Mus musculus: one gene and its partners. The protein of the gene in region 1 purifies or fractionates together with the protein of each later gene. This does not show direct contact. Links are inferred from orthologs where the notes say so. Each region holds a gene or a part of one and is shown on either strand. Other genes may lie near its edges.

Region 1 (2,509 bases):
GCTTGGGCAGTGGGCACCCGACTCTCACTGACTGCCAGACCTCAGGCGGGGCCTGCAGGGAAGTGGGAGCTTAGAGAGACTGCGACGCGCCGAAGCGGAAGCCCGTCCGCCGCCCGCTCGCCACTTCGATCACGTGTCCCGGGCACCAGCGTCCCTCCGGGGTCTCTGCCTCAGCGCCGGGGCGCGTGCGAGGGTCTTAGGCTCCGCGCCCCCGCCCCTCCCTCGTAGCCCTGGCGCCAACCCCCGCAACCCGCCTTGTCGGCGCTTTCTCCGAGGCCTTCGGCGCGCCTTGGCCTCTACGTCATATCCGGCGGCCAGGATAAATCCTTCCGGAGTCACGACGGCAAACGGCACAGCCGATTGGAGGAAAGGGAAGGCGGAAGCGCTTAGAGACGGGTGCCGGGATGTCCAAACTCCATGTGGATTTACAGAGCGGCCTGGGATGATAAAGCCCCTAGAACTCTTCACTCGCGAGGCCGCGGGAGACAGAGGCGGAGGCAGATGCTCTGAAGACAGTATTTATTGGCTCCTTAGAAATCAGAGTCAGTAACAACTGTACAGAGGCCCACAGCGTCCTCGGGCAGCCCTTCCTTTTACCCACTCCCTCCCCATGGCGCCCAGTGGCCACGGAAAAAGCAGCTTCATGTGGGCACAGAGAGACTCCTTTGGGATTCACAGTAACCAGAAACAAAAACGGAAATAAATTAAGTGATATGGGGGAGGGTAATAATAGGGAGTCATGTTCCCCAAGTCAGTGCATGAAGGGGGGACCCCGAGACGAGCTGGGCTCCCTCTCAGCAGAGGGAGTGTGCTGGGCCCTGAATGTAGAGATGTGCTTCACACCTGCTCTAAATCAAAGCCTGCCTACGTGCTCCTCCTTGCCAGGACAGCACTGGACATGCTCTCAGTCACGGGAATGAGGTGGAGGCAGTCGTCATTCAAGAGTCCTGGGCTTGAGGCCCGGCTGTGCTTGGAGTAGTGGTATGTCACCCCTTATTCCACTCGTACCAGCAGGGCATAGAGGAGTGTGGCTCCCTTCTCCTTAGTGACCCACTCAAGTTCCGATGGGCTGAAGTGCTGGTCAGGAAGTTCTCTGAGGGCCGCAGAGGGAGGGCCAGGAGTATAGGAGCCAGGGCGCACACACACCTGAAAGGCCACCTGAGCCTGGTGTGTCCGCTGGGATTTTGGGTCCCGGAATCTGTTAGCCAAGCAGAAACGAGAGAAGAGTAAGGCTCCCAAGGTCCATGACTGCTAATTCTGCCCCCTCCACCCAGGCCTTGCTGTTTTCTGGGAAATACTGTTCACCGTGACTGGCTTAGCACCAACTATTGTGTATGTAGTACTCTCCTCCCCTGGCCTGCTCAGCTAACTCCTCCCCAGCACTCTTCATGTGTTTATTTACCCTGGCACTCTAGTTCACGTCTTCCAAACACTCCAAGTGCACTTCTCATCTACTTCACCCACTTTTGGGAGACAGTATAGGGTCTCTACCAGGCTGGAGTCAACCTCCCTATAAAGGAAGGACAACCTTAAACTTCCGACCCACTGACCCTGCCACTTAGTGTTAGGACTCCAGGAATTTGTTACAATGCGCAAGCACAGTTTAGGTAGTACAAGGGGTCAAACCCATTGCCTGGTGCAGGATATTTTGAAAGACTTGGTATCCATACACATTCAGAAAAACAGGCCTACAGATGCACTCATCTAATCCACACTCAGCATGGAGATGGAACCAGGAACTGAGTGTTCAAGGCCGGCTTCAGATACAAACCAAACATGAATGTGAGGCCAGCTTGGACTACTTGACATCCTGTTTTAAGAAAAACAAAAACAAAAACAAAAACAAAAAAACCAAAAGGGGCTGGAGAGATGGCTGTTCTTCAAGAGGTCCTGAGTTCAATTCCCAGCACCGCTTACAACCATCTATAATGGAATCTGATTCCCTGTGGCCCATGTGTTTAATCCCAGCACTGGAATTAGAATTTCTAGGTTCAAGGCCAACTTGGTCTACAGAATGAGTTCTAGGACAGCCAGGGATACATAGAGAAACCGTGCCTCTGTGTGTGTGTGCGTGCATATGTGTGTGTGTGCGCGCGCATGCGTGTGTATTACGGGAGGGAAGGAGGAACAGTGACAGGTAAAGGTGCATCCAGGAACAAGCAGGGCAGGAAGGGTGCGGTGGGTGACTGAGCACAGCCCTGAGCCCCTAGTGCTCCCGGCATGTACTCACTGCACTTTGGAGGCCAGCATCTCTGCCCCGGCATACTGAAGGGAGGGGGAGAGCAGCACTGGAGGGGGCTGCTCTTCCCGGGGAGGTGCACAGTTCTCACCAGGCTCCTCAAATCCCACCCCAGGCTCTCCCTTCAAAGGTCGGCAGCTCAGGATGGAGGTAGTACCTGTGAAGAGACCTGGGTGAGGGCAGCCCCATGATTCCTCCCAAGATCCCTCAGCACAGCCCACTCCATGATACCTGCTCCCAACTCCCCTCGGTCCAGCACTCTCCGCACAA
Region 2 (3,221 bases), on another chromosome or scaffold:
TTGGCGACCTTTTGCTGCCTCATTCCTATACAATGTGTCCTCTCCCAAGGGAAGGATTCTAAAAGCACGGGGATGTGGGAGGCCCGAGTCTGGGGTAGGAAGGTAAGACTGTGCCTGACTCTTACAGTGCATCACTGCCCCTCCCCACAATTTGTCAACATCCTAGCAGCCAGAAGATGGAGAAAGATGGTAGAGTCAGGATGGTTAAAGGAAGGAAAGGAAGCCACCAAAGGGACTGAAACTTCAAATGGCACTCAAGTGGAGGAAAGGGGGTACTGGGTCAGAGACAATGATTAGTGGCCCAGCCTTTGGGAAGACTGAGGTCAGTCCTTGGAATAAGGTGTCACTTATCCCTCTGCCATTTACTTCTTGTCCTGAATGCAGAACTTCACCATTCAGGTAGAAAAGACCATGGAAAGGTGAGATGCCAAAAGCAAGGAAAACCATCGAGGAGAACTGGGGCTCACATGCACACTCAGAACCAAGAAAGAACAAACCACGCGGAGGAAAAACTGTTTTTCTGGAGGGTTTTTCTCAGGGGAACAGGGATCAGGATAGAGGTCTCAGTGATCCAGCTGTTTCAGGCTGCCTAGGGCCTCGGCGCAAGCCCGGATAAGCCCACAGAGCTGGATACTAGTCTCCAAGGAGGTGCTAGAGCCCAGCTCGACTGACGCCCAGGTTAGCTTCTGCAGGAGGGCCGTCTGTGTGGAAGCCACCGCGTCCGTATTTGGAGGTGCAGCCGGAAGAGGAGGCGCCTGGGCTGCCTTGAGCCCGGCTGCTGCGCCTTCACAGTGCTCTGGACGGGGTACTGGTGGCTGGGATGGGGGCCGAGAGCTCGAGGCAGGCTCTGTAGATGAGGCCAGCTGGTGTTCCCGAGCTTGAGAGAGCGCCGCCTGTGCATTCAGTGCTAGAACAAGAAAAGTGGTGGAAGAGTGAGGGTGCCCCGTCCGCCTCTCCCGAGTCATGTGCTCTTTACTGATGTCCCTGAGCTGCTGGTGTTTTCTGCCTAAGCCAATCCCATCTCATCTCTACTCTTCTTTCTCCTTACACATGCTTGCCAAACACTGCCCCACTGATTTACACTTGAGGTCCAGTTGCTTGACAGATGGCCTGGCCTCATCTATGCATCAAGTCTATTCCTGTAAACTGGGATGCCCGCCCTTCAGTGGTAAAATGCCTGTCCAACATGCACAAGCACCCAGGGTTGCACGTGCACTCTACAACGTAGGATGACTATTTTGCTAGGACTCTCCCCACGGTGTCAGAAACAAAAGGCTGATGGTCTTTCTTGAATGAAACACCTCTCTAGGGCGGAAACGAGAAGGCACCTTAATGCCACAGCACGCAGGAGTTTCCACTGTCACCTCCCAGGCTCACAGTTCCTCTGTAGCTATCGCCACTCTCTTCTCCCCACAGTGCACACTCGGACCCTCACCCGGGTTATCTTTATCCACGTCTGAGTCGAGCTCCTGACAAGCCACACAGTAGATTTTCCGCTGTTTATCTTGCAGGAGGATCGTCTGGGGACCAGAAAGTACATGGACATAGGTGAGCCGGAGAGACAGGGTTCACAGAAGAGGGAGCTGAGGAAAGGTCGTGCGGCCCGGTCCGCGGCCTCGGCCTCATCACTCGCCTCACCCCGCAGTCGGCGCACGTGTCGCCCAGCATGCGGTAACCACGGAGCAGGTAGTCCCCCATCAGACGGGAGATGCGATCCTGCCGCTCCCGTCGCGCCTGCAGCACCTTCGTCTCAGCTTCAGTCGGAGGCTCCCAGGTGAAATCGTCGACATCTAGAGAAAACAGGCACAGGAGATAGAGAGAGCTGCCTCCCGCACCCCACGGCCACTGCCCAAACATCCCAAGCGCATACCTGCACCGTTCAAGGCCATGTTGCCGTGGTCACTGCTGGGCTCACCGGAAGTGATCCAAATAAGATGCGCCCCCACTACGGCCCCGCCTCCCACATGTGGTAGCTGAGGGCGGAAGTGACGCTTACACGGTCTTCCTGGCGCTTTAGTCAAAGGGGGGGCGTGTCTGCTGCACATTTGACCCTGACCTACGGGCTCGGCTGGTGGCCAGAGCTATGGTTGGGTACCACCGTCTCCCTGGTAACGCTTCAGTACTCGGGTGTGGCTTTTCAGAGTCTCCATTTCTACTTGCCTCAGATAAAGTGGCCCTTAGGTCTGTGAAATACCCGATTCCCTCAGGGTTGTCTTTCCACACAGGGGAAGCAGGAGATGGGCAGGACCATGACATCTGCCCAACAGTCACTGCAATAAAAAGTTCTCTAAATCTTTCAAACTAGGCTAGCTACACTGAGGTCGTTTTCTGCCTATTTCAACACTCCTCCCTGTTTGCGTGTTGGGTGTCCTCTGTCCACCTTCTACCAATGCCTAGAACTGATGTAAGCCTGCTGTCTTAGTTAGGACTAGTATAGCTGGGATTAACACCATGACCAAAAATAACTTGGGGAGGAAAAGGTTTGTTTCGCCGGGCATGGTGGCTCATGCCTTTAATCCCAGCACTTGGGAGGCAGAAGCAGGCGAATTTCTGAGTTCGAGGCCAGCCTGGTCTACAGAGCGAGTTCCAGGACAGCCAGGGCTACACAGAGAAACCCTGTCTCGAAAAGCCAAAAAAAAAGAAAAGAAAAGAAAAGAAAAGGTTTGTTTCACTCATGGTTCCATATAACATGTTCATCAAAAGCAGGAACTCAAGCAGGGCAGGAAGCTGGAGGCCATGGAGGAGTGCTGCTTACTGGCTTGCTCCTCATGGCTTGCTCAGCCTGCTTTGTTACAGAACCCAAGAGCAGCAGCCCAAGGATGACCCCACCTACAATGGGCTTGACCCTCCCCCACTGATCACTGGTTAGAAAGTGCTCTACAGGAGAGCCCACCAGATCTTACGGAGGCATTCTCTCCTCTCAGAGGACTGTAGGGCCTGCTGGTGAAAATGGCTTATACTCGAGTGGGTTACAAATCAAGGACCAGTGCTCCTCATAATCCTGGGTTCTTTGCAAGAGCACCAAGTAATTAAAAGACCAAGGGCTGGAGAGATGGCTCATCGGTTAAGAGCCCTGGCTGCTCTTCCAGAGCTCCTGAGTTTAATTCCCAGCAACCACATGGTGGCTCACAACCATCTGTAAAAGGGCTAAGACACCCTTTTCTGGGGTGTCTGGAAATAGCTACCATATACTCACATGCATAAAATAAATAAGAGGAGGA
Region 3 (3,500 bases), on another chromosome or scaffold:
TGCACAAACATCGTGACCAAGAAGCAAGGTGGGGAGGAAAGGGTTTATTCAGCTTACACTTCCACATTGCTGTTCATTACCAAGGAAGTCAGGACTGGAACTCAAGCAGGTCAGAAAGCAGGAGCTGATGCAGAGGCCATGGAGGGATGGTCCTTACTGGCTTGCTTCCCTTGGCTTGCTCAGCCTGCTCTCTTATAGAACCAAGACTACCAGCCCAGAGATGGTCCCACCCACAAGGGGCCTTTCCCCCCTTGATCACTAATTGAGAAAATGCCTTACAGCTGGATCTCATGGAGGCATTTCCTCAACTGAAGCTCCTTTCTCTATGATAACTCCAGCCTGTGTCAAGTTGACACAAAACTAGCCAGTACAGTGAGACGTGTGAAGTTTGTTTACTTTCTGGGTCTTAAAGAGGCTCCATCTAGAGTGCTTGTTTTCATGTGGAGGAAACAGCTACCCAGCAACGTCCTAACCAACTGTGATCCCAGACTACCCTACCATTCTGCCACTAACATTCCTTTGGTGACACTAGAGTCAGGCTCACACTTACTTTTTCTGTAGTCACTAACAGACTATATTCATTATGTTACTGGCACTTTTCAGGTATTGGCAGAGTAAACAAAACATTTGCTCTGCCTTCAGGAAGCTCATATCCCAATGGGGAAGACAGACAGCACTGTCAAAAGAGCAGCTATGGAACTGAACTAGAATGAGAAAAGGTAGACCCTTACAGTGGACCTGGCAGGTAGCAGTATTCACAAGTATAAGTTACGATGCTGTTTTCGACTAAAGTTAATACCATCATTTTTTTCTCCTTACAGGTCCATCGTCACCATCTTGGTTTATGCTGGCCACTTCCAGATACTTACATGAATTCCAAACCAGTTATTATTAACATGAACCTGAACCTGAACAATTATGACTGTGCTTTTGATAACCAGTCTTTGTTTAATCAGTTTTCAAAAATAGATAAACAGAAATTTGAGAGACTCAAAGACATAATACTTGATGTATAAAATGGAACTAATTGTTGAGATTATTGTGATTTTCTAAGACTGAATAGTTTGCATTTAATTTTGCTAGCTGTTTGGCAAAACCTGTCAACTTCTAAACATGTTTCTAGGTATTTATAGAAATCATCGTTAGGATTTGACTATCTTAACACAAAAATAAATATAAAATAATCAATTTTAAATAGTAAATTGATATAAGCTTACCTTTATGCTTTTTGAAAATTTAAGTTATTATGAAAATAGTAATATTTATCATAGCTCATTGTGCACTGTATAGTCATAAATTAATGAAGTCTTCAAAAATATACTTTTCTAACAAGTTAAAACTAAATATGATTTTTTTAAACAAAAAAAATACAATATTTTGAGCTGTAAATTCTATAACACAGAGACTGCTTGATTTCCAGCTGAAACTTTTTTCACTCATAAAATAGTTTTAAACCTGCAGTTACACGAGGGCACTAATAAATAGGGAAACTATGAGGACTTTCTCCATCTTCCGAGTGTTCAGAAGCAGCAAGAGGACTAGGCAGTTCAAATCCAAACTGTTCCGACAGTTTTTTTAGCTTCTCTTCTAATAGGATATTCTTTTTCACTTCTTCCTTATAATTATACTTCAGGTCTTCAATTTCTTCAAAAAATGAAGGATCAAAATTTTCCAGTTCTTTTTTCAGCTTTTTAACTTCCTCCTAAAAGTTACATACAGGATACATGTTTTTGGTTTGAAATTTTAGATTTAATTATAAACATAAAAACTCAAAATCTTAAATGTAAATATTTTTCTTTATATTTTACTGTTCAAGGTTCCGTTGTACCATGTGAATAATGTAGAAGCTGCCATCTTTAGCTAAATTATAAGATTAAATCTTTAAACTGCCTCAGATATTCCCAGGCAAGCGAAAGGGACTTTGCTTTTTTACAACAACATTCAAGAGTTTTCAGTATTTATAATGTTCTAATTTTTTATCTTTTATATATAATACTTATGATCATGGGAACCCTGGGACTTGGAAAGGTTAAGCACCTGGTGAAGTGCATGCTTACAGCATCTACACAGACCAGTGACGAGCAGCCAGACCACTAAATGATTTAAGGGAAAGATCCCTGAAAATAATTTCAAAAGGGACTTAGAAAACACTTTCCCCACCATGACCCACAAATTAAGAAAATAGTTTAAAAAAACTATTAAGAGATGTGCATTGGTTACAATTTAAAAATAAATTTATTCTCTAGTACTTTCTGTTTGTCTGATTTTTTGCTGTTGATAGTTGTTTAATAAAAAGTTGTCATGAGTCAAATAATAAGTGTGAAATAAATCCATGAATTTTGGGTTATACACTTAAAGATGGTGATCATAAAAATTATTTCCCAAAGCTGTTTTCACAAAACACTGAGCATACTAAAGTTAGACACCAATACGAATTACCTTCGAATGTTGCTTTTCTAGCTCCAACTTTCTGAGTTGTGTCTCCAGGTCATTTATCTTTTCCTTTAGTTGATCAGAATCTGCCAAAATAGTCAGGAAAATTATGACTTATGTTTTTCTTTACTGTGAGTGAGTTAAAGATAGAGGATTTGTTTCAGAATAAACAGGAAACATGAAAGCGAAGGTCTGCATCATCTGGCACTGTATGGTGGGAAGACTTCGCATGCAAACTGCATGGCCATGACTCAGCAAGTAAGGTAGCTGCCAGCTATCAGAAATGTGGGCTATTCTTTTTTTATATGAGAGGAATTCTTATTTTTGAGAGAAAAACCTTGCAACCAGTAAATTTGTTAGGTACTATGTATACAGGCAACGAATTAAAATGCTAAGCTGGCCACTTATGCCTTCACACCACATAGCTTTGGCTACTGTGTGTAAGGTTTTTTTTTACACTTTACGCCAAACATCTAAGACTACGTGTGGCACAGATGAAGTTGTGGAGGAGGAATCAGCACACAGGTTAATAGACAGTGTCCTGCCACTCCATGCAGTCTTTGAAAGGTAAAGAGTTTTGTTTTAATGTTCGAGTTTGATGAACTAAGGAAAGCGAGTTTTCATGGTAAGGACGGGAAGTGTACTGGAGTGCTCTGGGGTGTCCTCTATCACTCAGAGACTGGACAAACAAGCAGGGTTCCAAATAAACAACAATGCATTTTCCTTTTAGAGGCAAAAAAAAAAATAATGTTCCCCTTCTATTTCTATGTCATATGTCATGTAAATCTCAATTCTACAGATGAAGAAAAGATAAACTATTTGTCTTCCTGAGAGTTAAGGTGATCTGTAGTCACATTTTCCTACAGATATTTTTATGACTTAATAAAACTCTCCTATATATATGTACCACATTTTATCTCAGTGCATCTGTTGATGGACACAGTGGCTGATTCTATTTACCTGAGTGCCCTAGTAAACATGATTAGTATGTATATATTTCTTAGTTTGATCCTAGTCATTGAGATCTTATACACACTGTTGGTGAAAAATTGCATGAAGAAAATAGG
Region 4 (3,500 bases), on another chromosome or scaffold:
CTCTAATGGCTTTAATAGAATAATGGATGATATTAGCACCTACTTTTAACCAGGTTGTCCTTGAACTCATGGGAGCTGCCTGTTTCTGCTTCCCAAGCACTGGGATTAAAGGCATGCGCCACCAAGCCCAGCTGGATTTATCTTTTCTTAGTCACCAGTACATTGTCCTTCGAATATGGCACTTTTCAGAGATTAGATAAAAAAAATTCTTCAGGAAAAAAACAACATTTGCAGTCTATCAGGATTTTAAACGTTCTTCACTAAGGGACAAAGGTCACGAGTGAAATAAGGACTGAGACACAGCTCCATGGGGCATGCACAGGGCTGTAACTCCTGTGGTCCACAGACACACACACACACACTGTGAAGTGTAGCTTTGGCTCTTCTGGTGAAGTATATATAGAAATAAAAGCAAGACCATAATGATGAATACATATTGATTTCTTACGATCTACTTCTTCCCCAAAGTATTGGCACATAAATGTCAACAGCCTAAAAGAGTACATAATGAAAAGAGGCATTTGAACAGCATGGTTCCAAGTGACTAACTCTATGTCTCCTTTCTCCATAGCAAAGAGAAAGATACTTGCCCGAGCAAGCTTGATTTTAATCCTGATGGAATACCTTACTTCAAAACTGATCCACAAATTAGCTAATGTTTGTCATGAGGCAATTTAATCACCCACTTAAAAGTCTTACGATCTGGGAGTTAGGTGAGCAGCTCAATGGCCGGGCACATGCTGACCATTCTCCAGGCTCAGACTTTTAAATGCCAGCACGCACACATAAGGCACGCGCGCGCACACACACACACACACACACACACACACACACACACTAAACCTTATTCTCCCTAAGTGTTCTTATACAAGAAGGCTTTCCTTAACACAAAGGGTGGAAAGCCACAGTTTTAGGCCAAGGAGACTGCCTGGGAAATTTCACTTTTCCATAGTCCTCACCCTAGCCGTGCCTTACATATTCCATCCCTTACCATGTGACTAACAAGAGCCAAGTTCTCCTACTTAAATCACCAAAACTACTGCAAGGAACTGTTCCTGAAAGGCAGTACGGATGTAAAGGAAACATTATTGGTGTAATTATTAAGAAATAAAGTGCATATGCCTTTTAATATCAATATTGTTTAGTACAGTAGTACAATGAAAATGAAGACGTAGTTCAGTAGCTAATATCTAAAAAGTGTGGGACAAGGAAACAAGTTGTATATAAATAATAACAAAATGGGGGAAAGGGTTGCTCCCCTGCAAAAGAGACACTTGAAAACATAAGAAAATCGAATTGAATTTCTGCTCCCCAGTAAATCAGACAGGCTGCACAGTGACACCCACATGCAACCCCTGAAAGGCAGGGTCACACTCCGGAGGCTGCCCTTGGGCTTCTTCGTTTAACTGACAATTCTCTGGCGTCTGGCTAATTTCATCCTGTGAAGTAGAGGCCACTCTATGAGTCTCACTGTCAGAGGAGGCGTCAAACCTTTCCGGAGAACAAGCGAGGTGACGCTTACCGTCTCCTGCCACATCGTCAGAATCGGCCGCCTCTGCGGCATCGTCCAGCTGCTGGACGGAGGTTAAATACTGTTGGAGCAGAGTGTTGTCCTGCTCACTGGCTGAGCTCTCCCTACTGCAGTCACTGTGCTCCTCGGCTGTGGCCTCCGAGTCTCGGTCTTTGACGCATTTCACCGTGTCAGCGGAATTCCCCAACACGGAGTTTTCGCTGCTTTCTACCGAACTCTTTTCAAAATCCAACGAATCCTGCAGACAGGGAACTTGCTCTGTCAGGGAGGAGTGAAACCCAGAGTCGGGAAAGTCTGGCGCTGATCTCCCTTGCGCAGCTTCGTCCTCAGCAACGAGCCAGTCCGAACTCTGATCCGAAGAGGGGTCCTGATGATGTGGAAATAACGGGGGCTTGGGTGACGCCAGAGTACTTGATATAGGAGGCACGTCGGGCGGCCAGGAAGCCAGACGCTGTTCCACTGTCTGCTGCCAAGCTTGTACAGATCTTACCTGGAAACCAGGACACACAGTTTTAGTAGAAAGTAAACAGCCTGTCTTTTTTAAATGTCCAGAGCTTTTCCCCCACAGAAGTCCTGCAGTTGCCTGCATTCATTACCCGTCTAATCCCTTCACAGGGCTGACCCCAGCCTAACTGGGCAGGCACAGTGTTTTATGTCCTTGGCAGCAAAGCGTAACCCCCAGCACGAGAGGAAGGCCATAGCAGTTCTCCTGCTTCACGGGAGAAATACGACAGCATCTTTCTCACTAACGGATCGATAATGTGCAAAATATAGACAACATCTAGTCGATAAGGGCCGATTAGCACCTCTGAGTCTAAGTGCATCTTCTAAAATGAGTCTATTTTAGATATAGATGCAGACATGGGGTTTCCAGTTATTTTAAAATGTAGTATTTATAACTTTCTAAAATGACTAAAAATACCCCAAGTTCTTGACAATATGGCCCTTAATATTTTAAAGTTATAAAAATAATTTCAATTTTTTACTATAAAAATTGCAAGCTGAGCGGTGGTGGCACACGCCTTTCATCCCAGCACTTGGGAGGCAGAAGCAGGCAGATCTTCGAGAGCTTGAGGTCAGCCTGGTCTTCAGAGTGAGTTCCAGGACAGCCAGATCTACACAGAGAAACCCTGTCTCACAAAGCAAACCAAACAAGCAAACAAAAACAGCAACAACAAAAAGGCAAGGGTGGGAAAGGGCTCAGTAGTTAAAAAGACAAGCTATTCTTGACTGTAGGAGAGCAGTTCCCAACACCCACGCAGGTCACAACGGTACACCCACACAGCAGGTCACAACGGTACACCCACACAGCAGGTCACAACGGTACACCCACACAGCAGGTCACAACGGTACACCCACACAGCAGGTCACAACGGTACACCCACACAGCAGGTCACAACGGTACACCCACACAGCAGGTCACAAAGGTACACCCACACAGCAGGTCACAACGGTACACCCACACAGCAGGTCACAACGGTACACATCTCCAGGTGTGAGGCTTCCACACTCACCTGTGGCCCCAAGGGCACCGTACACACATAGGTCACATGCATACACTCCGGCAAAACACCCATACACAGAAATGTTTATTTTTTTAATTGCAGCTGGTATAGTGCTTGCCTAGCATACACGAGGTGCTGGTTTCAAACCCCAGCACTACACAAATCAGTTGTAATGGGGCACACCTGTAATCCCACCACTTGGGGGATGCAGGCAGGAGGATCAGGAGTTCAAGGTCACCCTTAGCTAGAGTGAGTGTGTGGCTAGCCTCGACCACATGAGAACCTATCTCAAAAATAGAGTAAGATAAAATAAAATGAAGTAGATAAAGATAGCTGGGGAGAGGAGAAAGCCAAATAGAGAAGTTTTAGTTTCACTTTGACTACTCTCCAGGGGAATTTCTTGTCTTTTTTTGAGGCAGGTTCTCACTATACAGCTCTGTGCCATTGAGGTACTTTCTGATAGT
Region 5 (4,066 bases), on another chromosome or scaffold:
AGGAAGATGGAGGTCCCAGAGTCCATCAGGAGGAACTAGAGGGAGGACAGAGTGGGTCGGTGGAGCAGAACTTCACAGTGCCGGCTGCACTCAACAGCTGTAAATCTCGCTTTCTGTAGGCATTACTGCTCTTCTCCTGGTATTCAGATGGTATTGCTTTAAATATAATAGAGCTGGGCTCAGCTGCCTAAGCCTATAATCCAAGCTCTGGGGAAGCTAAGGCAGGGAGATTAGGTGTGCTAGGGCAGGCTGAGTTATAGAGAGATGCTGTCTCACAAAGCATATATTTTAATGTATCTCTGTATTAGGAAACATTGAAGCTCCTCTCAAGCTCTTAACTTCAAGTGACTGTGTCATCTCTGAAAGGGGTTTGCTGCTTACAGTGGATCATGGACTGCAGTGGCCATATTTTCTTTAGGATGGTCAATTACCACTGATAGAAAGGGCTAACCGAACCTCTCATTTTTCTTTTTTGTGAGGCGGGGTCTCAGTAGTCTGGGCTGGCTTTGAACTCACTATGCAGCCAAGGATTAACTGTATCTTCTAATCCTTCTGGTCTCCAAGACAGGGATCACAGGGGTACAACAACAAGCTCTCCCAGCCTTTTGAGACAGGGTCTATTATATAGCATAGGCTGTCCTGGCACTACATAGACTAGTTAACTCATGTGCCACTACTCCCAGGCAAACCCTGTGCTTTTTATATCTAAGTTCCTAAATACTTAAATTTCATCTAAGCACTGGAAGGGCAGCTATCTACCTTTCTCAGCACGCCTATGTCAAACTCTGGCTGGTCTCAGCGATCTCAACAAGCCAGCCACCCTGCTGACTGAGCTTTTGCTCAGTTTTCCCAGGACCCCTCACTCATTCACCTCCCTGGTTACCGCGGATGCTTCTAGAAGCAGCCAACGGACCCCGGGGACCGATCCCAGGGGCCTTCCCAACACCACCCTGAGCTTATCTGCTCAACAATCTGGCCTAGCATATTCGCCTTCGCCCACTTCCTCCCGACAGCACGGGACCCAGCAGCCGTTCAGACGCTCGCCCTGTCGGGTCACTTGGTACGACACTCTGGGCGGTGGTTCAGCTGAGGCCGGGGTGTACCCGCCAGCAGGCCGCGTGCAGCTCCGACCGCCCCCGCGGCGCGCGCAGTCACGGGCGTTGGAAATTCCGGCGCGTGCGGCTCCCCGGCTGGCGGGGGCGGGGCCGCCGTGGAGTGAGCCTGTGACGTGAGGGGGCGTGCCTCTGCGAGGCCCCGCCTTCTCTCCGCGCCCTCTCTGGCGGGTCGGGGTTACATGGCGGCGACTGCGGCAAAGCGAGAGCCTCGGAAACGCCGCTGCCGCCAGCACAGCCGGAGACCTGAGCCGACCTTGAGGGCTGTCCGCGGGCCCTGCACTCTGTCGATGAGTCGGAGAAGTCCCGTGAGTGTGTATGTGTGTGTGGCCGGGTGCGGGCCGGCGCGGGAGGGAGCGGCAGAGGGCCCGGCGGCGGCGCCGGCTCCCGCGTCCATTGTGTGTGACCCTCCGGGCGGCCGCCGCTCAACAAAGACGCTTTTGTTCCGTGTGCCCGCTCAGCCCGGGCGGCGCGGCCGGCTGCGAGGGCCAGGTCCCCGCGTGGGGCTGGCGGCGCGGCCGGCGCGCCCCTCCCACCCGGCACGCCCCTCGCCGGGCAGCCGGCCGCAGGCATAGCTGGCGGGCCCCCGCCGCCTGCACCGGGCTGCGCTTCGCGGGTTCGAGTCCCCGCCGCCCGCGCCCGGTTCCGCGGGTTCGAGTCCCCGCCAACGCGCAGGCGAGGGCGGTGGTCCAGGAGCGCTTGAGGCGGTGGAGGCTTGCCTTCCTGGCTCGCTGCCTCCCTCAAGCTCTCCTGTCTCCTCCCCTCCCCAGCCTGCCCGGGTGACTCGGCCTCAGCTGACTCCGGCCGGGCAAAGTCTCCGGCACGTTGCGTAGCGCTCTGCTCCTGCCCCTAAGTCCGCCCAAGTTTGTGCCTGGCGGTCCACGAGGTGCCGGGGACCGGCCTGAGACAGGGCTCCTGACACCTTTCCGGACGTTAAGGTGTGATCCGGAAAAACACCCTGATGAAAACGTACGTTACCGGTTACAGGCCTCCTCACTTGGAGCTTGTTATGATCGGACTTGGGAGTTGTGAGGAGTGGAGGGCTTTCGGCCGCCTTTTGTTCCTGCCTGGCTTTGGCTCTCCGGCTCAGGTGCCTTGGGGAAGCTGCGTGCAGCAAGCTCCTTTAGATCGCTTTCGTGTTTTACCTTTCTTTGACTTGAAAGTAGGAAAGATGGAGCGCAGGGACTTGGTAAAGGGGAGTTAGGTCTCTTTACAGTATCTAAACAGTTCGTGTTCGTTGCTAAGAGTCCGGAGGCAGTATTAACTTTTTATGGATACAGATAGATGATTGTCAGAGGGGGAAATAAAAACGTTCTCAGGCCATCAAACGAAGAGCAGCTAGCTTCAGAATAAATTGTTGATTATTCTAGCGTTTTTATTTTGGTAAAATTCTGGGTTTTGACGTTCTGTCTCTTTAACGTTGGAGAACTGCGTTGGAAAGAATTTGAGAAGAATGTGGGGTCTAACCAGGGTCCAGTCCTCAAAGGGATTTTGTTGGTTGCAGAGACAGTCGCCACGTAGTCCCAGCTAGGCTTTGAGTAACGATTCTCCTGCCTCGGCTTCCTGCTGGGTTTAACACGTGTGCACCATTGTCCCCAGCTTGAGAGTTTCTAGAAATGACAGATTTTAGTGTTTGGAAATAATTTTGAATTGAGTGGAAGAAACATATCTTTAGCTTGTAGTTGTTAAAAACCTGTTTGTAAGCTGCTTTAACAAAAATATATGTTGTATTAATGTAATTACATCATAAATCTTGCTTTACTGATGTCCCAATTAATAATTGTCATCTCGGAAGCTTGTCAGATTTGAGCAGACAGTTCTATCGCTTCAGTATTACTGTTCCTGAAAAAAAAAAAAAAAAGACCCTGGGAAAATGAAACATTGTTTAAAGTCAGCTTTCTATATGAGGATATTTTGCAGTTTAGTCATTTGCAGGAGAGGATTAAAGTAGCCTGCCCACTTTTTGCGATTAAAAAAGATTCTGGGGAGGACTGGCTTGCGGAACATTTAGTTTCTCAGTAGAAAAGACAACGGTTTTAAAGACAAGTGTAAGTGCCGAGAGCGCTGCAGCATTTTATGTAAGTTCCCGGAGGATGTGAGAACTAAGAACTCACAACCTCGCAGGCCTGCTGACTCAGGGGACCCGGGGAAGGGCCTGGGGTCCAGTGGGAGGAGGCACAGAAGGAAGGCTGCAACTTTGGAGTTGGGTGATGACTCACCCTGCCCACTGCCGCCACTACTACGTGGCTTTTTTTTTTTTTTTTAAATGATAGGCTAAAGTGTTTCTGTCCATATCAGAAATCTCTTTTTCTCCGAAGGATAGTGTCAAAAAACAAAAAAACTAATGGCTTCTTAAATTGGCTCTTAAAAGGATATCCAGTACCCTGCAGGTACAATTGTGTAACATTTGTTGAGAGAAAAGATAAAGTCAATTGCTGTTTAGTTGCTGAAATTAAATGTTTGATAATAACAGGTCTTTGGCTGCTAGTAAGAGAGATTTTTTTAGGAAGTTATATATGGACAGACAGTACATTATAGTCTTGGTGGAAATTGGCTAGTTTTCATTGATCATCTATAAGGTATTGGTTTAAGTGTTGTTAGTAGGAACTGTAAAACATACTTTCTTGTGATATTTATGCATTTTCAGTATATTGAAATTATTACTATCATTTTTATCAGTATGGGGTTTTGCCTGCATGTATGTCTGTGCACCATTTGACTGGTACCTTCAGAGAGGCCTGAAGAAGACATTGGATCTCTTGGCACTGGAGTTTCAGAGGCTTGTGAGCTGCCATGTGGGTGCTAGGAATCAAACCTGGATCCTCTGGAACTGCAGCCAGCTTTTGTAACTGCTGAGCCGTCCCCGAGCCTGGTGAATTTTCTATTTTAATGAGGACAGGTTGAAACAGGCATTGTTACAAACACTGTTTCCAATCAGTTTTTAAAGAGAGAAA
Region 6 (4,194 bases), on another chromosome or scaffold:
TATATTTTTATATTGTTTTTCCGTATTTGAAAGTACTTAAAAGACCACCTCTTAAAACTCATCTCCAGTTGCAAAAATCAGAACACTGATGTTTTTAATAGCTGCATATAAATATAATATAAATCCATTAACAGTAATATTATCAATAATAACAAACAAACCTAATTAGAATAAATGATAATATACCAGTAACCATTCATTTAAGGTGTTGGTTTTTTTAAAGGACATTTGAAAAGATCATCTTAAGCTCTTGAACAGAAAAAAAAATAGCTATGGCCAATTAAAAAGAAAATGTTCATAAAAATTGAGAGAAACAATTATTACTGCAATTATTTGAGGGAAGACACAAATGTTTAAGAAATACAACTGAATAAAATTTACATGTCAGAGACATTATAGATACCTAATGAATGCAATGTTAAAAAAAAAAAAAAAAAAACGAATCAAATAGAATGAGTTTTGTCTCAGGTAGAAATCACATTTTTCTAATTTAAAACCATAAAAAGGGTAAATAGCCGGTCCTGGTGGTATACATTTTTAATCGCAGAACCCTGGAGACAAAGCCAAGAGGAGAGTTAGACGTCATCCAGCGATATACCATAAGACCCTTTCTCAAAAAAAAAAAAAAAAAAGGGTGATGGTGGCTATTTCAGGGATAAAAAAGCCACCTACAAAACCTGCATACAAAAGGAATTTTCTAAACTCAAAGTTAAGCTCCTCAGTTATATGAAGAGCAACATCCAAAGAAGTATGTGTATACCACTTCACAACACACCATGCAAGGTAAATATTGACACAAATTATTTCACAACCTACATTCTGATTTTGAAAACAAAACTACAAGTCATCTCATCTTTATTATGTGCTGTATCTTTCTTAAACGATAGACTGCGAATTGTTGAAGTTCTCATTTTTATTACAGATTCTGATACATGGCTTTTTTGTAAAGCTAAGTATTTATGGATTTACAGTCATCCTTACTTAGGCTTATCAGCAATACAGATGCAGTATCCACTTCCTTAAAAGTGCAGTAAGCAGTCTATTTAAGAGGAGAATTTAATACTAAAGCAATTTCTGTCATACATAACAAGACAAAATTTTCCTTTTATCTCTCCTCAATTCTAAATTTACATAATTTACCAAAAAGATATCTTAAGAGTATTAACTAATCTGAGGTGTGTCAAAAACATTCGTCGTGTCTCTTGTCCAATAGGGCTTTGATATTTAGCTTTTTAACAGCTGTATTTCTTAAAGTTCAGGCCATCTTTATTTCAAACGCACTTCCCTATCCAAAACATTTTAACATAATCTGCTGCTTCTCCCAAAACCATGGGTTATACGAATATCCTTCACGAAGTAAGATAATGGTGGATAACACATCCCATATACTATTTAGTTAACATTTCCAACAGTACACTAGCTATTTAACGCAATCCCAAAGAGATTTTATACTGTTCTATTTTAGCATGCTCAAAAGACATAAAAAAAATTGACGTAAAATTGTCTTTAGAGGATTCTTCTAAAGCTGATAAAGTCTTATTAAAATTATACTTTCTATTTTTAAGGCTAACGCAATTATAGCACATTCAACTCTGATTCTTCCAACAAAAAGCCTCCGCATCAAAATGGGGAAAACGTCCTTTTCATTTTCTCAACTGAAAAGGGGGAGGGGAGAAGAGGAGGAGGCCAACTGCTTACAGGTTTGCATTGAAAATTAACACAGCAGTTTCTGAGGAATCAGTAACTCACGTTCAACTACTGAATCCTACCAGAAGCAGCACACGAATAAAACCAGAGCGCAATCCTTGGGCTTGAGGTGCCGCTTCATCCGTCTTCCTTCCAATCCACCCCCAATACCCCAACCCACTAAGCACACATCTAAATATGTCTTCCCCACCAGAGCGCCCCTTTGGAGGAAAAGGCCTGCCTTTCGCAGCCTGAAGCCACGGCTGGCTCTCCGATCTCTGCTTAGATGAGGCCCCCGATCTCGACGCCCTGCACGTCCGCCCCACCCCGGGCCCACTCGGGTACCCGTGGGTGACAAAACCCTCCCTCCTGCGTCCAGCCAGCACTGACAGTTAAGGCTGCAGCAGCCGCAGCCACCAGGGCCTAGTCCTGGCACCGGCCCCTCCAGACCACGCGCCCCAAGCACTCGCTCACGGAGGCGGGTGAGGGCCCGGCGCCTACCCTGTCAGCGCGGGCCGGAGGGTGACGAGGGGACCGGCGGTACAGACCAGAGGGAGCGCGCCGGGCAGGCCGCAGCCGCAGCAGCACTGACCTGTCCTCGCCCCCGCGCGTGGGCTGCGGCCCTCGCAGCTGCGGCCGCCTCACTGGTCCTTGTCGCCCTCGTCCACCGCCGCCGCCCGCCACCGCCTCGTTCCCTTTCGCTGGCGCCACCGCCGGGTCTCATGCGGGACCCGCGCTTCTCCTCAGGAAACCGAGGCCGAGAGGCCAGGCGCCTGGGCAACCTTGAAGTCGGCGCTGAAGCGCTGCTGTCGCGATCTGTCCACAGTGGGGGGCGAGGGCGGCGAGCAACTCCGAAGAGAAGCAGAAGGAGGCGCCACCGTCAGCGACAGGTCGACGGAAGAGAAGCGTAACGAGGCGGTGAACAGCTGCGTGGCCCGGTGCGCGAGCGAGAGAGCGAGCGCAGGAGGGGCGACGAGGTGCTGGCAAAGACGAAAGGCCCTGTCGTCTCCTGGAGTCACCCAAAGAGGAGCGCCACCATCTTGGGAGAAATACGGATCTCGCGAACGCAGCACTGGACGAGAGGACTAGGTGGGCGGACCGAGTATCCCGACAGGCAGCGCGCGCCAACCCTGCCGGGCGAGGGCTCGGAGTCCGGAGGCGGGATGCGAGGCGGGGTTGCGCGTGCGTGGGATGGCGACGGGCTCTGCCCCGCCCCGATCGCAGCTCTGTGGGGCCCTCCTCTAGCTCGCCTTCGCCTGCGGCGCAGGGGCCTTTGGGAAGGGGAGATGGCCTTGGGCTGGGTGGAAGCTGGCCAGCATCGTCGCCATCTTGAGACTGGGCTGAGAGAGGCTTGGTGTTTTTAGCCTCTGCTCCTTTTACTCAATCTATAGACCAGTGTGCTTCGGTGTACTCGCGAGAGCGGACAGGTCTACCCAGCCTAGCAAAGCCCAGGAGTCAGAGGGACGAATAGGCCAAGAGGGTGTAGCCTACTGGCGGCACGAGGAGGCATAGAAGCGTTTTGTTGCTAGAGCTGACCCTTACGACTTTTCATCCGAACTGTCCGAGTAAAGGATTCAGGCGTTGAGATTGGGCAACCTTTCAGCAAACAAGGCCATCAGCCTCTGCCAGAACATGATATGTCACTGGCTTACCAGACTAGTAGGTAAAAGCCCAGCCCCTCCTGTGTTGTCTTCCAGTAGATGTCAACTGAGAAGAAACCGCCTTGCTTGATCACACGTGGATAGAGACTAATTTTGATTTACAGAACACCCGAACCCTGTTAGAGCCATGTGACTTGTTGGTACCGGAGTGAGGGTTTAACTTAGGTTTGTTGTTAATGATTTTGACACTAAATTATTATAAAGACTAGCTGACATGTTATTTCCTGGCTTGCAACTTAGTAAGCCTTAATCATCTAGTGCTCAAAATGTAACAATCACATGTATTAATGTGCTTTTCTGTTTATTACAGCTCCTATAATGTGTGTGTATGTGTGTGTATATATATATACACATCATATATATATGAAAGATCTCCCCACTATAAAAAATATTTTTATTATTGGTTTTTCAAGACAGATTTCTCTGTGAAGCCCTGGCTGTCCTGGAACCCACTCTGTAGACCAGGCTGGCTTTGAATTCAGAGATTCGCTTTCTGAATGCTGGGATTAAAGGCTTGCAATTTTTTAAAATTAAAAAATAATAGGCGTGTGTGTGTGTAAACTATTACAGGATAAATAATAAGTGCAACTGTTATATCAGATTTTAAGATACTTTAAATTTTTTCTATTCTTTTTTTTTCTCCATCCATTAAAGATCCTCATTTGGAATACCATTGTATTATATGAAAGGGGCCAGTAATAAATGTAACCCTTTAAAGAGTTATCTTTGCAAACTATTTAAATACAAAACCAAAACTGAAAATCATTAGACTGCTAAGAAAAGTAAAGTACATAAACTGTTGCAGCATGTGAAGACGCTTTCAGCTATTCACTCCTAAATAAAAGTC
Region 7 (3,500 bases), on another chromosome or scaffold:
GCAGAGCCGAAGCTGTACTGCAGGGCAGAAGTTATGAAGCCTAGAGAAACACACAGTACAGACTAGTATAGTGATCTGTGGCATCATACTGAATGTCACATAATCAGAATATGCAAAATGCTGTAATAAACATTTGTGACACTCGAATAACAGCCATCTCAGAGACTGAGCCAAACGCAGACATGAAATATCCATGGACATTCAGCTTCTGTGCCAGATGGAGCTTTTCAAGACAAACAGAACTCGGGATAACTGATGCTGTGAAAAGATCTTCCTGCTGCTGGGGAATTAGAGGTAATTCCAAACCACTCAGGAGATAGCCAACTGCTCTCACCTGAGCATGGCACCTGCTGCATGAATGAGGGGCCAGGCTCTGGGCCCAACCGCCTGCTCTTGTTATGGTGAGTCCTCTCAAGGACACCTGCTCTGTGGCCTTAGATCCCATATCATGTCATTTTTCATGGCTACTAAACAGCAGGCAAATAGGGGGTGGAATGGGCATTAAATTACCAGAAGAAACCTATGATTAAAATAGCTCACTACACAATAACTGTCAAGAGGAAAACAATTCTTAAAACTCTACCAGAGTTGTTTGAAGTCTGGAGTGAGTCCACTTGGGACAGCATGGTTTCTAGCAAAGCAGAATCGGTTCTTTGTCTCCACTCCAGTGCACTGTTCAAGTCAGAGACGTCCGTCGTAACTGCCTTCTCCTTCAGCATCTTCTCCTGCTCTTCTATTTCCTGCAAGTTGACCATGTAGGACAGCATCCTTTAATGGAATCTGAACTAATGCCACTCTAGGCTTAGCCTGAAAGTGTGTGTAGTGCAGGGTACATGATTGTTTATCTCAATCCTCCCTCAAAGTTAGGATAACTGGTTCAGCTGATTTCACTTTGTAAAATGGTAGTTTTTCATTTTTAAGTTGAATTTAAAATGGGATTAAAAATCACAAAACGCAGGCTGGTGAGATGGCTCAGTGGGTAAGAGCACCCGACTGCTCTTCCAAAGGTCCCAAGTTCAAATCCCAGCAGCCACACGGTGGCCCACAACCATCCGTAAGGAGATCTGACTCCCTCTTCTGGAGTGTCTGAAGACAGCTACAGTGTACTTACATATAATAAATAAATAAATCTTTTAAAAAAAAATCACAAAACGAGTATCTTTATAATATCATTCTTGAAAATGTATATTCAACATCTATTTTTAAAATACCTTTCAAAATATTAGCAATTCTGAATGAAGGATTCAGTAAGGTGCCCTTCCACAAATTACTCAGCGGCTTTTAGGTGAGGACCTAAATGTTAGATTTCACATTCTGACATCAAAATATTATCTACATATCAGGCTCAATGACCACCTCAAAATACGATACACAGAGGGAAACTGTCAGTGTACACACATGGCCCAGATCACACGCTGACTAACCCGACTGCTGGCCACCGCATCTCAGTGCCTCACCTTTTGCAGTTGCTCCTGCTCCCTCTCCTGCTCAGCTATGAGGAGTGACAACTGCTGGGCATGCTGTTCCTCTAGTCTCTTTCGCATTTCTTCAAAAGCTAACATCTTGCTTTTCAGTAGTTCCTGGCCTTCTGAAAAGAAATGTGTGCTTAAATTGAGAAAACTCATTGCGGGTCCAACAGTTCATATTTTTTGCCATCAACCTGAGCTATGCTTCTGACCAGAGGATATTCCTCAAATAACATAGGTCAGACATAGCCAGTTCCCCAGTGCACCATCCTCACTGGCCTCTCCCCTTCTTTCCCGCTACTCAGAAGCATAGCATTGCACCTCCTCGCCTCCCCACTCAGTCAACAGAGCTCCAAGGCTCCCCGTCTCCAGCCAGCGTTAAGATGTGCTCCTTGAGCTGAAGAGAGCACAGAGAAGTAAAACACCTTTGAACCACAGCCCCTCAGCTCAACAGCGCCATTGAGTAAGAGTCCACTTGACTACAAGAACTCTCTAAGGGAAGAGGCACGGGGGGCCGTGGGCAGCTGCAGCCACCCTGTGCCACCGCCTCCTCACTTACTCTCACAGTGATCCAGCCACTTGCATGACCAGCCACATCCTGTATGTTCACTAAACACTAGCACCTGGCTTGGCAGTGGGTTCGTGAGCTCTGGCATTCACTGAGGTAGCCTTCACCCACACATGGTTCTCTACTCAGAGGATGGAAGGTGATTATTCCCCCGGTACCAACTGTTTTGGGAGGGGGGAAGGGCATATTTTTATTGTTTTGGAAAGAGAGTCTCACTATGTGGCCTTAGCAAGCTAAGTAGAGCAGGCTGGTTTCGTATGTAGAGCCCCACCTGCCTCTGTGTCACCTCACCCACCTACAGAGTGGTTTTATTAAGGTTCTTATAAAGGTGATTTTTGTTTGTTTGCTTGTTTGTTTTAAGACAGAGATTCTCTCCATAGCCCTGGCTGTTTGGAAACTTGCTCTGATTTAAGGGGAAAAAAAAGTTTTGGTTTTTTTTTTTTTTTTTGGTTTTTCGAGACAGGGTTTTTCTGTATAGCCCTGGCTGTCCTGGAACTCACTTTGTAGACCAAGTTGGCCTCGAACTCAGAAATCCACCTGCCTCTGCCCCTCTCTCTGCCCCTCTCTCTCTGCCCCTCTCTGCGCCTTTGCCTCTCGAGTGCTGGGATTAAAGGCATACGCCACCACGCCCGGTTGATTTAAGAAACCTTAACAAGGCTGGAGAGATGGCTCAGTAGATTAGAGCACTGACTGACCTTCCAGAGGTCCTGAGTTCAATTCCCAGCAATCACATGGTGGCTCACAACCATCTGAAATGGGATCCAAAGCCCTCTTCTGGTGTGTCTGAAGACAGCTACAGTGTACTCATATATAAAATAAATAAATAAGTTAAAAAACAAACAAACAAACAAAACCACAGGAACCTTAGCAAAGGGCAGTAAGCAGGTGCTATGTTTCTAGTAAGATCAGGACAATTGAGTGCCCTCCCATACAGAGGACAATTTATTTCAAATCACTTCTAAGTTTTTACCTTTGGGGCTAGTTTCTAGCATCTTATTCTTGTTAATGTGGACGAATCCCTTGGGGTATCTTCTTTCCAGCAGACGGTCCCGCTCCTGCTCAGCTACTCCAGCTGTTATAATATAAGGACAATTTTCTTTTTGTAAACTATCAACATCTAAATCAAGTCTCCGCTTAACTTTCTCAAAACTGTTATCTACAAACTGCTCGTTTCCACGGAACACCGGCGGTGTGTCCATCTGCTGTCTGGAAGTCTGGGTTTGCGTAAGTAAGGGAGATGGGTGTTTCACATCGTAAGATTTATTCAGTTCCATTTGTAAGTTGCAGGAGTTCTTTGCTAGCAGACTGGCTGACTTGAGTTCACACACATCTTCCAAGGTTTGACTTGACACACACTGACTGCTGGGCTGCAGTTCATGCAACTTGGGCACAGCCATACAAGTACCGTCCACCTTCTGGGCTCCCCTGTCATCAGCTATGAAGGGACCTTCCATAGCAGACCGCTC

What was found.
Region 2: the proteins of Neurl4 (region 1) and Znrd2 purify together in Homo sapiens (co-immunoprecipitation; 4 studies listed by BioGRID and IntAct, with this or other methods). This does not show direct contact. The link is inferred for Mus musculus from reciprocal best matches to the Homo sapiens genes NEURL4 and ZNRD2.
Region 3: the proteins of Neurl4 (region 1) and Cep290 purify together in Homo sapiens (affinity purification with mass spectrometry; 3 studies listed by BioGRID and IntAct, with this or other methods). This does not show direct contact. The link is inferred for Mus musculus from reciprocal best matches to the Homo sapiens genes NEURL4 and CEP290.
Region 4: the proteins of Neurl4 (region 1) and Cep97 purify together in Homo sapiens (affinity purification with western blotting; 4 studies listed by BioGRID and IntAct, with this or other methods). This does not show direct contact. The link is inferred for Mus musculus from reciprocal best matches to the Homo sapiens genes NEURL4 and CEP97.
Region 5: the proteins of Neurl4 (region 1) and Mapk6 purify together in Homo sapiens (affinity purification with mass spectrometry; 6 studies listed by BioGRID and IntAct, counting the BioPlex papers as one, with this or other methods). This does not show direct contact. The link is inferred for Mus musculus from reciprocal best matches to the Homo sapiens genes NEURL4 and MAPK6.
Region 6: the proteins of Neurl4 (region 1) and Ube3a purify together in Homo sapiens (affinity purification with mass spectrometry; 3 studies listed by BioGRID and IntAct, with this or other methods). This does not show direct contact. The link is inferred for Mus musculus from reciprocal best matches to the Homo sapiens genes NEURL4 and UBE3A.
Region 7: the proteins of Neurl4 (region 1) and Ccp110 purify together in Homo sapiens (affinity purification with western blotting; 4 studies listed by BioGRID and IntAct, with this or other methods). This does not show direct contact. The link is inferred for Mus musculus from reciprocal best matches to the Homo sapiens genes NEURL4 and CCP110.

The regions. Positions count from the first base shown.
Region 1 is NC_000077.6:69,911,816-69,914,324, reverse strand, and holds the end of Neurl4 (neuralized-like protein 4), read right to left. Parts: coding exon 2,471-2,509; intron 2,397-2,470; coding exon 2,231-2,396; exon of another isoform or gene 1,511-2,230; coding exon of another isoform or gene 1,417-1,510; exon of another isoform or gene 1,199-1,416; coding exon 994-1,198; 3' UTR 501-993; downstream 1-500. UniProt on the Homo sapiens protein: Promotes CCP110 ubiquitination and proteasome-dependent degradation. By counteracting accumulation of CP110, maintains normal centriolar homeostasis and preventing formation of ectopic microtubular organizing centers.
Region 2 is NC_000085.6:5,729,806-5,733,026, forward strand, and holds Znrd2 (protein ZNRD2), read right to left. Parts: upstream 1,928-3,221; 5' UTR 1,890-1,927; coding exon 1,871-1,889; intron 1,791-1,870; coding exon 1,639-1,790; intron 1,521-1,638; coding exon 1,436-1,520; intron 908-1,435; coding exon 564-907; 3' UTR 501-563; downstream 1-500. UniProt on the Homo sapiens protein: Might play a role in mitosis. Antigenic molecule. Could be a centromere-associated protein. May induce anti-centromere antibodies.
Region 3 is NC_000076.6:100,571,082-100,574,581, reverse strand, and holds part of Cep290 (centrosomal protein of 290 kDa), read right to left. Parts: intron 2,520-3,500; coding exon 2,440-2,519; intron 2,309-2,439; exon of another isoform or gene 1,703-2,308; coding exon 1,475-1,702; 3' UTR 1,017-1,474; coding exon of another isoform or gene 822-1,016; 3' UTR 1-821. Other genes in the region: 4930430F08Rik (uncharacterized protein C12orf29 homolog), read left to right, coding at 822-1,016. UniProt on the Homo sapiens protein: Involved in early and late steps in cilia formation. Its association with CCP110 is required for inhibition of primary cilia formation by CCP110.
Region 4 is NC_000082.6:55,903,849-55,907,348, forward strand, and holds part of Cep97 (centrosomal protein of 97 kDa), read right to left. Parts: intron 2,022-3,500; coding exon 1,320-2,021; 3' UTR 1-1,319. UniProt on the Homo sapiens protein: Acts as a key negative regulator of ciliogenesis in collaboration with CCP110 by capping the mother centriole thereby preventing cilia formation. Required for recruitment of CCP110 to the centrosome.
Region 5 is NC_000075.6:75,407,217-75,411,282, reverse strand, and holds the start of Mapk6 (mitogen-activated protein kinase 6), read left to right. Parts: upstream 1-1,266; 5' UTR 1,267-1,420; exon of another isoform or gene 1,421-1,428; intron 1,429-1,923; exon of another isoform or gene 1,924-2,081; intron 2,082-4,066. UniProt on the Homo sapiens protein: Atypical MAPK protein. Phosphorylates microtubule-associated protein 2 (MAP2) and MAPKAPK5.
Region 6 is NC_000073.6:59,227,356-59,231,549, reverse strand, and holds the start of Ube3a (ubiquitin-protein ligase E3A), read right to left. Parts: upstream 2,801-4,194; 5' UTR 2,279-2,800; intron 1,861-2,278; exon of another isoform or gene 1,750-1,860; intron 1-1,749. UniProt on the Homo sapiens protein: E3 ubiquitin-protein ligase which accepts ubiquitin from an E2 ubiquitin-conjugating enzyme in the form of a thioester and transfers it to its substrates.
Region 7 is NC_000073.6:118,722,543-118,726,042, reverse strand, and holds part of Ccp110 (centriolar coiled-coil protein of 110 kDa), read right to left. Parts: coding exon 3,005-3,500; intron 1,589-3,004; coding exon 1,458-1,588; intron 741-1,457; coding exon 584-740; intron 41-583; coding exon 1-40.